2 linked regions of the Coturnix japonica genome follow. The protein of the gene in region 1 interacts with the protein of each later gene in a pairwise test. Links are inferred from orthologs where the notes say so. Each region holds a gene or a part of one and is shown in the gene's direction. Other genes may lie near its edges.

Region 1 (3,814 bases):
ACAGCATAAAACAGAACAATGTTAGTATCCGTTACTTCATTCTTAAATATTTGTTAGCTTCCTAGTGATTCAGTTGTACAGCTGAGTTGTTATTAAAGTATATATGTGTTTTGTAGTTATATTTGTAAAAGAGTACATAATGGGCTCCCTGCTAGCTTTGCTTTGCATGGAGGAAAAAAAAAATAGATGATTATTAAAAAGTTTACATGATTATGAAGAAAACTATCTAATCAACCGCTTTCATCTGTTGGCACTGTGGTCTTGAGTACTCGTTATTTATCTGCCGCTTTGTGCTTTTCTTGGCAGGGGGTGAAGGGAGTTGGGTAACTATTACAAGATACTTTTGTTTCAGTATCAAACTGTCTTACTATGTTTTCACATGCCTTTTGCAGTTGATTACATTGTGTGCAAACACTTGCCTTTCCAACTGAGGTACACATTTAAAATCTGTTTGATTTTGGCTACAAACTTACAGAGTTTGTTGTCCAGGTGCTCCTCCCATGCTGGATATTTAGATTCATAGTGCAGTCAGAAAGCAGTTCTTGCTTATAGAGTATTAAAATTTCCCGTGGATGTTGATGTACTGATAACTTGTTGCAATATTTGTAACGTGCTTTCTACTGTTGTTTTGGTACAGGTAGCACGACGACCTGTGGAATATGAGTGATGACAAACCCTTTTTATGCACTGCCCCTGGATGTGGCCAGGTAATGGTCTGACTCAAAGTTATTAATGACAGTTGAATAAAAGTAAATCAGTGAAACATATTTCCAGGGACTGAAGAAAAATGACTTAATTGATAGAAAGTACCCATGTTTTCCAGTTCTGCTGAAAAGCAGGTGGCAGCAAGAATTTCTGGCATTTAAATTGTCAGTTTGTTCAGAAAAATAATAGCCATATAATGAAGACAGTTTCCTTTCTTAGGCCTGTCTTATTTGTTTCTGTAAAGAAGTGTACACGTGTTTATATACACACCCAATAAATGTGTAGGTAACCTACATTTTTCAGTATATTTCAACATTAATGAGGAGCTCACTGTGAAACTTGCAGGATTTCTGTGTGTAATAAGTGTTTTAAATTTCACGGTTTTTTGACTTCTCAGTGGTTTAAAACTGATTAATCTTCCCATCAATGGTGACTGCAAAAATTTAATAGAATAATATTTATTTATGCTTTTTTTTTTTTAAATAAAGGCAAGTGTTAGCATTATGCATGCTACAAAATGCTATAATACTTCTAATACATTGTATTAGAAGTATTATTAGTTAATACTTCTAATACATTGTATTAGAAGTATTATTAGTAGATGTAGCACTAAATGAACAGAAAACAACAACAAAAAATAGTTAATGAACACTTTAGTGTTTTAATAGATAAAATGTTTTTTATTTAGCAACATGAAAATGAGTCAGTTTACATTATGTGCTGCATGAGGTTGACTTTCCTGCTGCCTTTTGTATAGAACCAATTTCTTAAACCAGCTGCATTTTTTTTCCTCTATATTGATGTGTGGGTCCCAGGTGTTCACAAAAGTAAGAGTTATAGTATTTCATTCATTTCATATTTCATTATTCATATTTCAAGTGTAGAAACATGTTTTGGGAAGACTTTTCTTAGATTATGTCAAATGAATTACTAACTTTACTCACAGTCAAAGCAGCATAGCAAGTTCCAAGTTAAAGGAAAAATAATCTATTGTACAGCATGTAGTTTGTCTGCTTGCTGCTTCCTTCATGTAGTGTACCCTAAATTGTGGAAGAGTGTGCAAAATACTGCTGGGATACTTCTGAAAACTTGGGAGCTTTTAAAATTGTGATAAGTTTTGATAATTCATAGCCATTCAAGTGGTTTGATGATATAGCATTACTTCCCATTCCATCTGCCTTGCGTTAATTAGTAAACTGTCAGGGGCAGGAGTTACGTTTTATTTTGTTATTTTGCTGTTAAATACAGTAAGTCTATGTTTGTGATTAGAGATCAATTCTCATAACTGTGATTACACCAAACAGTGCAGGTATCACATTGTGGTAATCAATTACTAAACACTGCCAAGATCCGTTAACATAGCGAATGGCTGTTTGCTGATGGTTGATGGAGTCTGTGGCACTCTGAAATGTTATCATGGCCTTTTGATGACTGCAGGTACTTACACTGCCATTTTGCTGATACTGCTGCTATTTGGTTACTGTGAACATTATTTGAGTTTTACCATATTTTTGCTGGTTTTGTTGACCAACAAGGAAGATACTCCAAAGAGTTGTCTTTTAATTTGGTAACAGCTGTTCTACATGTTATGGAAGTGACTTTCTGTGGAACTGTATTTAGTGTGTTTGTATTCAAAATGGTGTTTCTTACATCTTTCTGCCACAGCGTTTTACCAATGAGGATCATTTGGCTGTCCACAAACATAAACATGAGATGACACTGAAATTTGGTCCGGCTCGTAATGATAGTGTCATTGTGGCTGGTTAGTATATAATTTTTTATAACTAGTTTGTTCATATTTTATGGTGGTATGTGCATTCATTTTGGTCTGTTTTCTGTACTTAATCAGTAGATGTGCATTATGAAACTGAAATATTTTCTTCATTGTAGTTGTCTGTGAAGTGTTTTGTGAATGTTTTCCTGTACTATTAACTCTCTGTTATCAGGTGTGTGAGAATGAAACTATGAGGACATTCTGTCTCTTTGCAATTATGTTCCAGCGCATGAACTGTAGTCATAACTGCTAGGTTATGTTAGTGAAGATGCATGTAATAACGCTAATGATATTTCAGTTGAAGTTGCTGTGTGTCAAATTACCTGGTAATAGTAGTGAAATAGAGGAATTTACATAGTAAATTTACAGAAAGACTTTTGAAACTATTTCAGGCAGTAGTAATCAAGGTGCCAGAAGTCTTAAAACTGCAGCTCAATTGTACAGGCATTACGGGAGGCAATTAAGTATTTTGTCCAATATCATATGTCCTATTATTGCATTTCGCTCACTTGGTATTGATTCCTTTCATTTTCATAATATAAGAAAGAAACTGTGAGCTATGAATGCACATCTTGCCTTTGAAACTAGAGCCTGCTTGCTCACCAGAGTGATGTGGTGTGCTAGGCTGGCATTTGAGAAATGCTGCATATGGTTGATCGACGTGGACAGAAGAAATCTTTGATCCTTCCAGCACTGTTAGGGGGTTGTGGTCTGCAAAATCAAACTACTTGTCTCCAGCAGGTGGGGTATGCCTTGTGGCTTATTTTCCTGCAAGGCAGAAAGAAGCGTGCTTTCAAGGCAAAGTGTTCTTAACCACATTGATTATTTGTACATCATGAGAAAATCAACACAGATCTTTAAGGTTTTTTTCTTTTAATCAGTCTTCAAAATATGTACCTAATTAACAGTTTACATGAATGCAAGTGCATCTTAAACATATAAAAACAGCCTCACTTTTCATACATTTAGTTTTCTGGACAAAGTGAAGTAATTTTAAAGTGAATTGCTAAATAACTTGAAGTATTAATACATCCGTCAACTGTAAAGCTAGTTAAAATAAATAACCCCATTGGTGTCATCTTTATGTAGGCTAAGTACAGATTTCTTAAATTTATAAGTTTCCCTGGTATCTTCTTGATTTTAAGTTAGAAGAAATCCTTTGTAGCATAAAACCCACTGAGGCTCCTGAATAATTATCTGAATACATTCAGATAGTTTTTACTGTTCTTCAGGTAACCTGTATTATTTTTAGAGAAAGCTATGTATTCATGTAATTACAAATCAATATCTTGATATATTGGTGCTGTCTCCTTTGACTCTGAAAATTATTTACAA
Region 2 (4,436 bases), on another chromosome or scaffold:
GGTGGGTCAGGGCTGGCTCCTGTGCCAGCAGAGTGCACCGAACCATTGGGGAGCACCAGCAGCCGCACCTTGTGCAGGAGGAGAGCCAGCAGCACCGACCTGCCTGCTTTTCTTTTTTCCCCCCCAAGGCAGGCAATTAAATTTGAAATAGGAACGCTGTGTTTGCAGAGCTGAGCGTGCTAGCACGGTGACATTTCAAAAGCTGAGAGTACGCTTCCCATCTGGGTGGTCAGCGTGTGAGTTGATGTATGCACACATACACCCGTGTGGACACAGCGCACAGAGGTGAGGTACGGACGGGCTCAGACTAATGTTAGAAATCCGTGTCCTCGGTTAAATGCTCTAAGCTATCGATATGTGCCAGCTTTTCCCACTCGAGACGTGTTACCCGTTACCAAATGCAGCCCCGTGAACGCTGCAAAATGAATTAACTGCCTGAAGGGCTGATCGGGGTCTGTGCTGTAAGTGAATAAACGAGTCTCCAAGCTCTTCCCGTTCTTAGCAGGGAGACCCAAAGAGAACAAGTCTGTATGAACCGAGGATGGAGTATTATCGTATTGGATAACTCTGTGCAAATCTCTGCGAGCCTCGCGCTCTCGGATAGGTGCTTTTTTGATACGTCTATTTTCTAGCGTTTTTGGAAGGCAATTGCTGTCACTTACCGAACCAGGAAGCTGTGGGAACAAAAAAGAACAAAACAAAACCCCTTCACCACCGCCACTAACACGTTCCCCTGCCTCCTACGGGGAGTCTCCGGTTATCCCCGAAACCAGAACGACATCGCGTGCTGCGCCGTTTGAAGGGGAGAAGTTATTTATTTATTTTCAGCGTTCTGGAATTTAATTAAACGGCTCCTTCCCCGTTTCCTCGGGCTAAGAACTGAAGCCCCCCGCCCCGATACGGGGAAGCGTTTCGGGCCGTCAGCTGGAGCGGCACGGAGCGAGCGCGGGGTGGTTCGGCTTTTTTCGGGAGGGGGCGTTCAACAGTTTGGGGGCGAAAAGGGCTCCCGTTTTCTAGTCCTTTCGAAAGCCGCGCTGCCTTCACTTAGTTTGACCGTCTCCGAGCCGTGAGAAGGACTCTGATTTATGATAAAGCAGCACGGCTAAGTCCCGCACGCCTGAGAAGTCGGGACGCCCCCTGAAGTCTGTTAAAAAGAAGAAGAAAAAAAAAAAAACAAAAAAGGGAAGGGGAAAAGAAAGCGCCGTGGGAGGACGGCCCCGTGCCGGGTGCCGGGTGCCGGGCGCTGCCGTCCCGCGGGTCGCTGCCGGCACGGGGCGCTCCGCCGCTTGGGGGAGGGGGTCCCGCGGGGTCCCGGCGGCCCGGCCCGGCTCGGTGAGCTCCTGTTATGGAGAGCGAGGCCGCGCCGCCCCGCCCTCCGTGCAATGGGAAAGCCTTGCATCACCGCCTCGGGCCCCGCTGCCCCCCCGCCCGGCCGCCCGCCCTCCGGGAGCTATTAATAGCATGACATCAGCCCGGGACTCGCCGCCAGAGTAAATACCAGCTCTACCCGCTCGGCTATATAAGGGGGGTGATGCAACCGCGGCGAGAGGCAGAGGCGCGGGGAGCGCGAGCGGGCGCTGCTCTCCCGCCGGCGGAGCGGGCACGGGAGGAAGAGCGGGCGCGGCGGGGCCGGCGAACAGCCCCGGCCGGCGGCGGATCCAAGGTAGGAACCGCGGGACGGCTCCGGGGAGAGGGACGAGCCGGCAAAGCGGAGGAGCCCGCTCCCGGGGTGCGGCGGGAGCGGAGTCCCGAGCGGCTGCCCCGGGCCGGCCGTGCCGCTCGGCGCCTCGCGGGGGCGGGCAGCGCGGGGCTCGGCGCCGGGGGGATGCCGGCCGTGACCGCCCGCGCTGCCGCTCCGACCGCCGCTCCGACCGCCAACGGGGCGCCGAGGAGCGGCTGCGGGGCGCCGGGCAGCCCGCACCACCGGGAGGAAAAGCGGTAGGGACTCGCGCGGTTCTTTCTCTGTGCCGATGTCCGACACGGAGACCGGCTGCTGAAGTCTCGCCTAAGCGAGGCAGGCGTGGCTCGATAGAAAAGTTGTTAGAGAGAAGTAGCTTCCCGTTCGAAATGGGTTCTTCTGGCTTTTGAGCGGGTGGATGCCGGCGGAAAGTGGTTCGGGAGTGATGTGGGATGTCAGAAAGCTTAAGGTCAACCGGCGTGCACGGAGGTTGTGAACTGTAATTGCCCTTAATGCTGTTTAAGATTAACCTCAATGGTTATCGGCGTTTGTTGCATCAGCACCAGAGGAGAAGGAATTCATGAGAAGAAGCAAAACCGAGAGGTCAGCCGTCAGCAGCCGAGCGGAAAGACTCCGAGAAGTCGTTCGGGAATACGCATAACTAACAGAAGTGCACGGCTAGGAATCGTGTGCCGAAGCGAAAACATCGGCAGAGGAGATGGGTAGATTTGGTGAGGATGAAAAGAGCCGCTGAGAAAAGAACAAACAAAGCATAGTGACGGGAGCAGACTTGATTGAATCTACCTGAAGCCGAAGGTACCAGCAATAGCAGAAATGTTCCCCGGGGAATTGCCAAACTAAGAATAAAGTAAAGAAGCGTGAGCTCGCAGCGGGAGCAAGCTGTGCCTTTATGGGTCAGGTCTGTGAAATGTTCGACACCTTCAGTTCCAGTAACTTCAGAAGTCCTCAAAATAGACCGGAGCTGCCATCCATGTGCACGGTCTAATGAAGTAAACAGATAGGATCAGGAAGCCCAGATGTAACTGCAATTTGAGGCTAGATATCCCTATTGCTGTGCAGACCTAGGGAAGAGCGGCATGACACTCTTGAAAGCTGACAGACAGAGGAACAATTTGTGCAGAAGTTGGGAGAAGAAAGGGCAAACTGCTGCGGTTTATGTTTATTAGGAAAATCTAATCTCCATCCTCATAACGCATTTCTAAAAGTAGATCTGTTCCTCAGAAACTGGAAAACATCTACCTTTTGTTATGGAAAGCCAATCTGTTTGGCTTACTATTGGCTTCAGCACAGGCTAATTATTTTTGACATCCCTGTCACTCCCGACCACCAAAGCCGTGCACTGGAAGGAATCCTGCCATGCCATGTACCGGCCCCAGCCCCGCTGGAGAGTCAGCGTGGGGCAAGGAGCCCTGCCAGCTGTGGTGGGCTGGGGACAGGACCCCTCCAGCCTGCCTGGCCTCTGGCAGGGCCCCCGCTCCAAAGTATGGGTAAAGGGAGACGCTGTCAGGGTGCCTGGGAGGTCAACGATTCGTGCAGACAAGGGCACTGCTCTTTCTGGGCTTCCCTTCCCAGTGACAGCCTCCCTTCCATGTTTTTATAAACTGAAAGTGGATCAATAGATACCTGAGGACATTACAGTAGGGTTGCACTGGGGGTCGTGGTGCACTTAGCTCTTGTAGGAATAGCACTGCCTGGTAGATAAGAGCAACTCTCAGGCACGTTACTAAAACACGGGCATTCTTCGTTTCCTCTGGCGCTGACTTTAATTAAAGTTGACCTAAACTGAAATATAAACGAATAACCTCCCCCCCCTCCACCCTCCCACCATGCTGAGAAATGCTTGGCCCAATTAATTATTCCATGTGCTGGAGAAATGGTTTTATTGTTAATTGAAATCTCCTGGTTTGATTGAGTTATATGGAATTAAGTGTTTTGAATGAAGGCAGCAGCAGGAGAGGAGCAGACCGACGGTCAGGGAGCACAGCTCCAAATTGTGTGAACAGTGGGGGCTCAGTGTCACGGAGTCTGGCTGCTTCAGTGAGCTGAACGGCTGAGTGTTGGGAAGTGCTAAATAATGCCAGCAGTTCAGCTGGAAATCACAGGGCCTTTCTGACTCGGGGGGAAAAAAGTAACTGGTGGCTTTCTGAGATTATAGTATTAAAATGTATCGGCACTTTAAATGTGACTCATGAGCAGGGGCTTTCTGAAGAGAATTACATAAATTTCCCAAGGTCTTTCTGAATAACAAATTGTTCCTAATTATTTCCTCATATTTAACAACCAAGGGTGAAATCCTGGCCCCACTGAGGTCAACAGCAAAACTCCTTTTGATTTCAGTGGTTTCAGCGTTTCACCCCTGGGATGTGGGAAATCTTTGGCTCTTTTGTGGTCATTGAGACTCAAAGTGAGGAAACCTCTGCAGCTGGACAAGTGGTTTTCTACCTGCTGGCAGTTCACTGCCCTTGGATTTTTGTGTTTACCTCGCTTAGTGAGGAGCTGGGTTCTACTCCAATTTGCACCGATGTGGATTTACAGTATATTTTTAGATATCTCTGAGCGAAATCTATCTTCTTGTCAAGGCACGTGACCCCAACCACTTCTTGCCATGTCACAGCAGTAGCAAACAGGGAACTGCACAATTGGGGTTGTCCACGTGGAAATTTAACTTACCCACACTGCTGTCCCAAGGCAACTATTTGCTTACCTGCACTACGTTAATTACAACGACTTTGCTATC

Evidence for each region.
Region 2: the proteins of ATF2 (region 1) and ATF3 interact in binary tests that used the Homo sapiens proteins (3 or more experiments, as listed by UniProt). The link is inferred for Coturnix japonica from reciprocal best matches to the Homo sapiens genes ATF2 and ATF3.

What each region holds. Positions count from the first base shown.
Region 1 is NC_029522.1:14,857,011-14,860,824, forward strand, and holds part of ATF2 (cyclic AMP-dependent transcription factor ATF-2), read left to right. Parts: intron 1-637; 5' UTR 638-659; coding exon 660-707; intron 708-2,370; coding exon 2,371-2,467; intron 2,468-3,814. UniProt on the Homo sapiens protein: Transcriptional activator which regulates the transcription of various genes, including those involved in anti-apoptosis, cell growth, and DNA damage response.
Region 2 is NC_029518.1:19,272,066-19,276,501, reverse strand, and holds the start of ATF3 (cyclic AMP-dependent transcription factor ATF-3), read left to right. Parts: upstream 1-1,526; 5' UTR 1,527-1,663; intron 1,664-1,993; exon of another isoform or gene 1,994-2,238; 5' UTR 2,239-2,597; intron 2,598-4,436.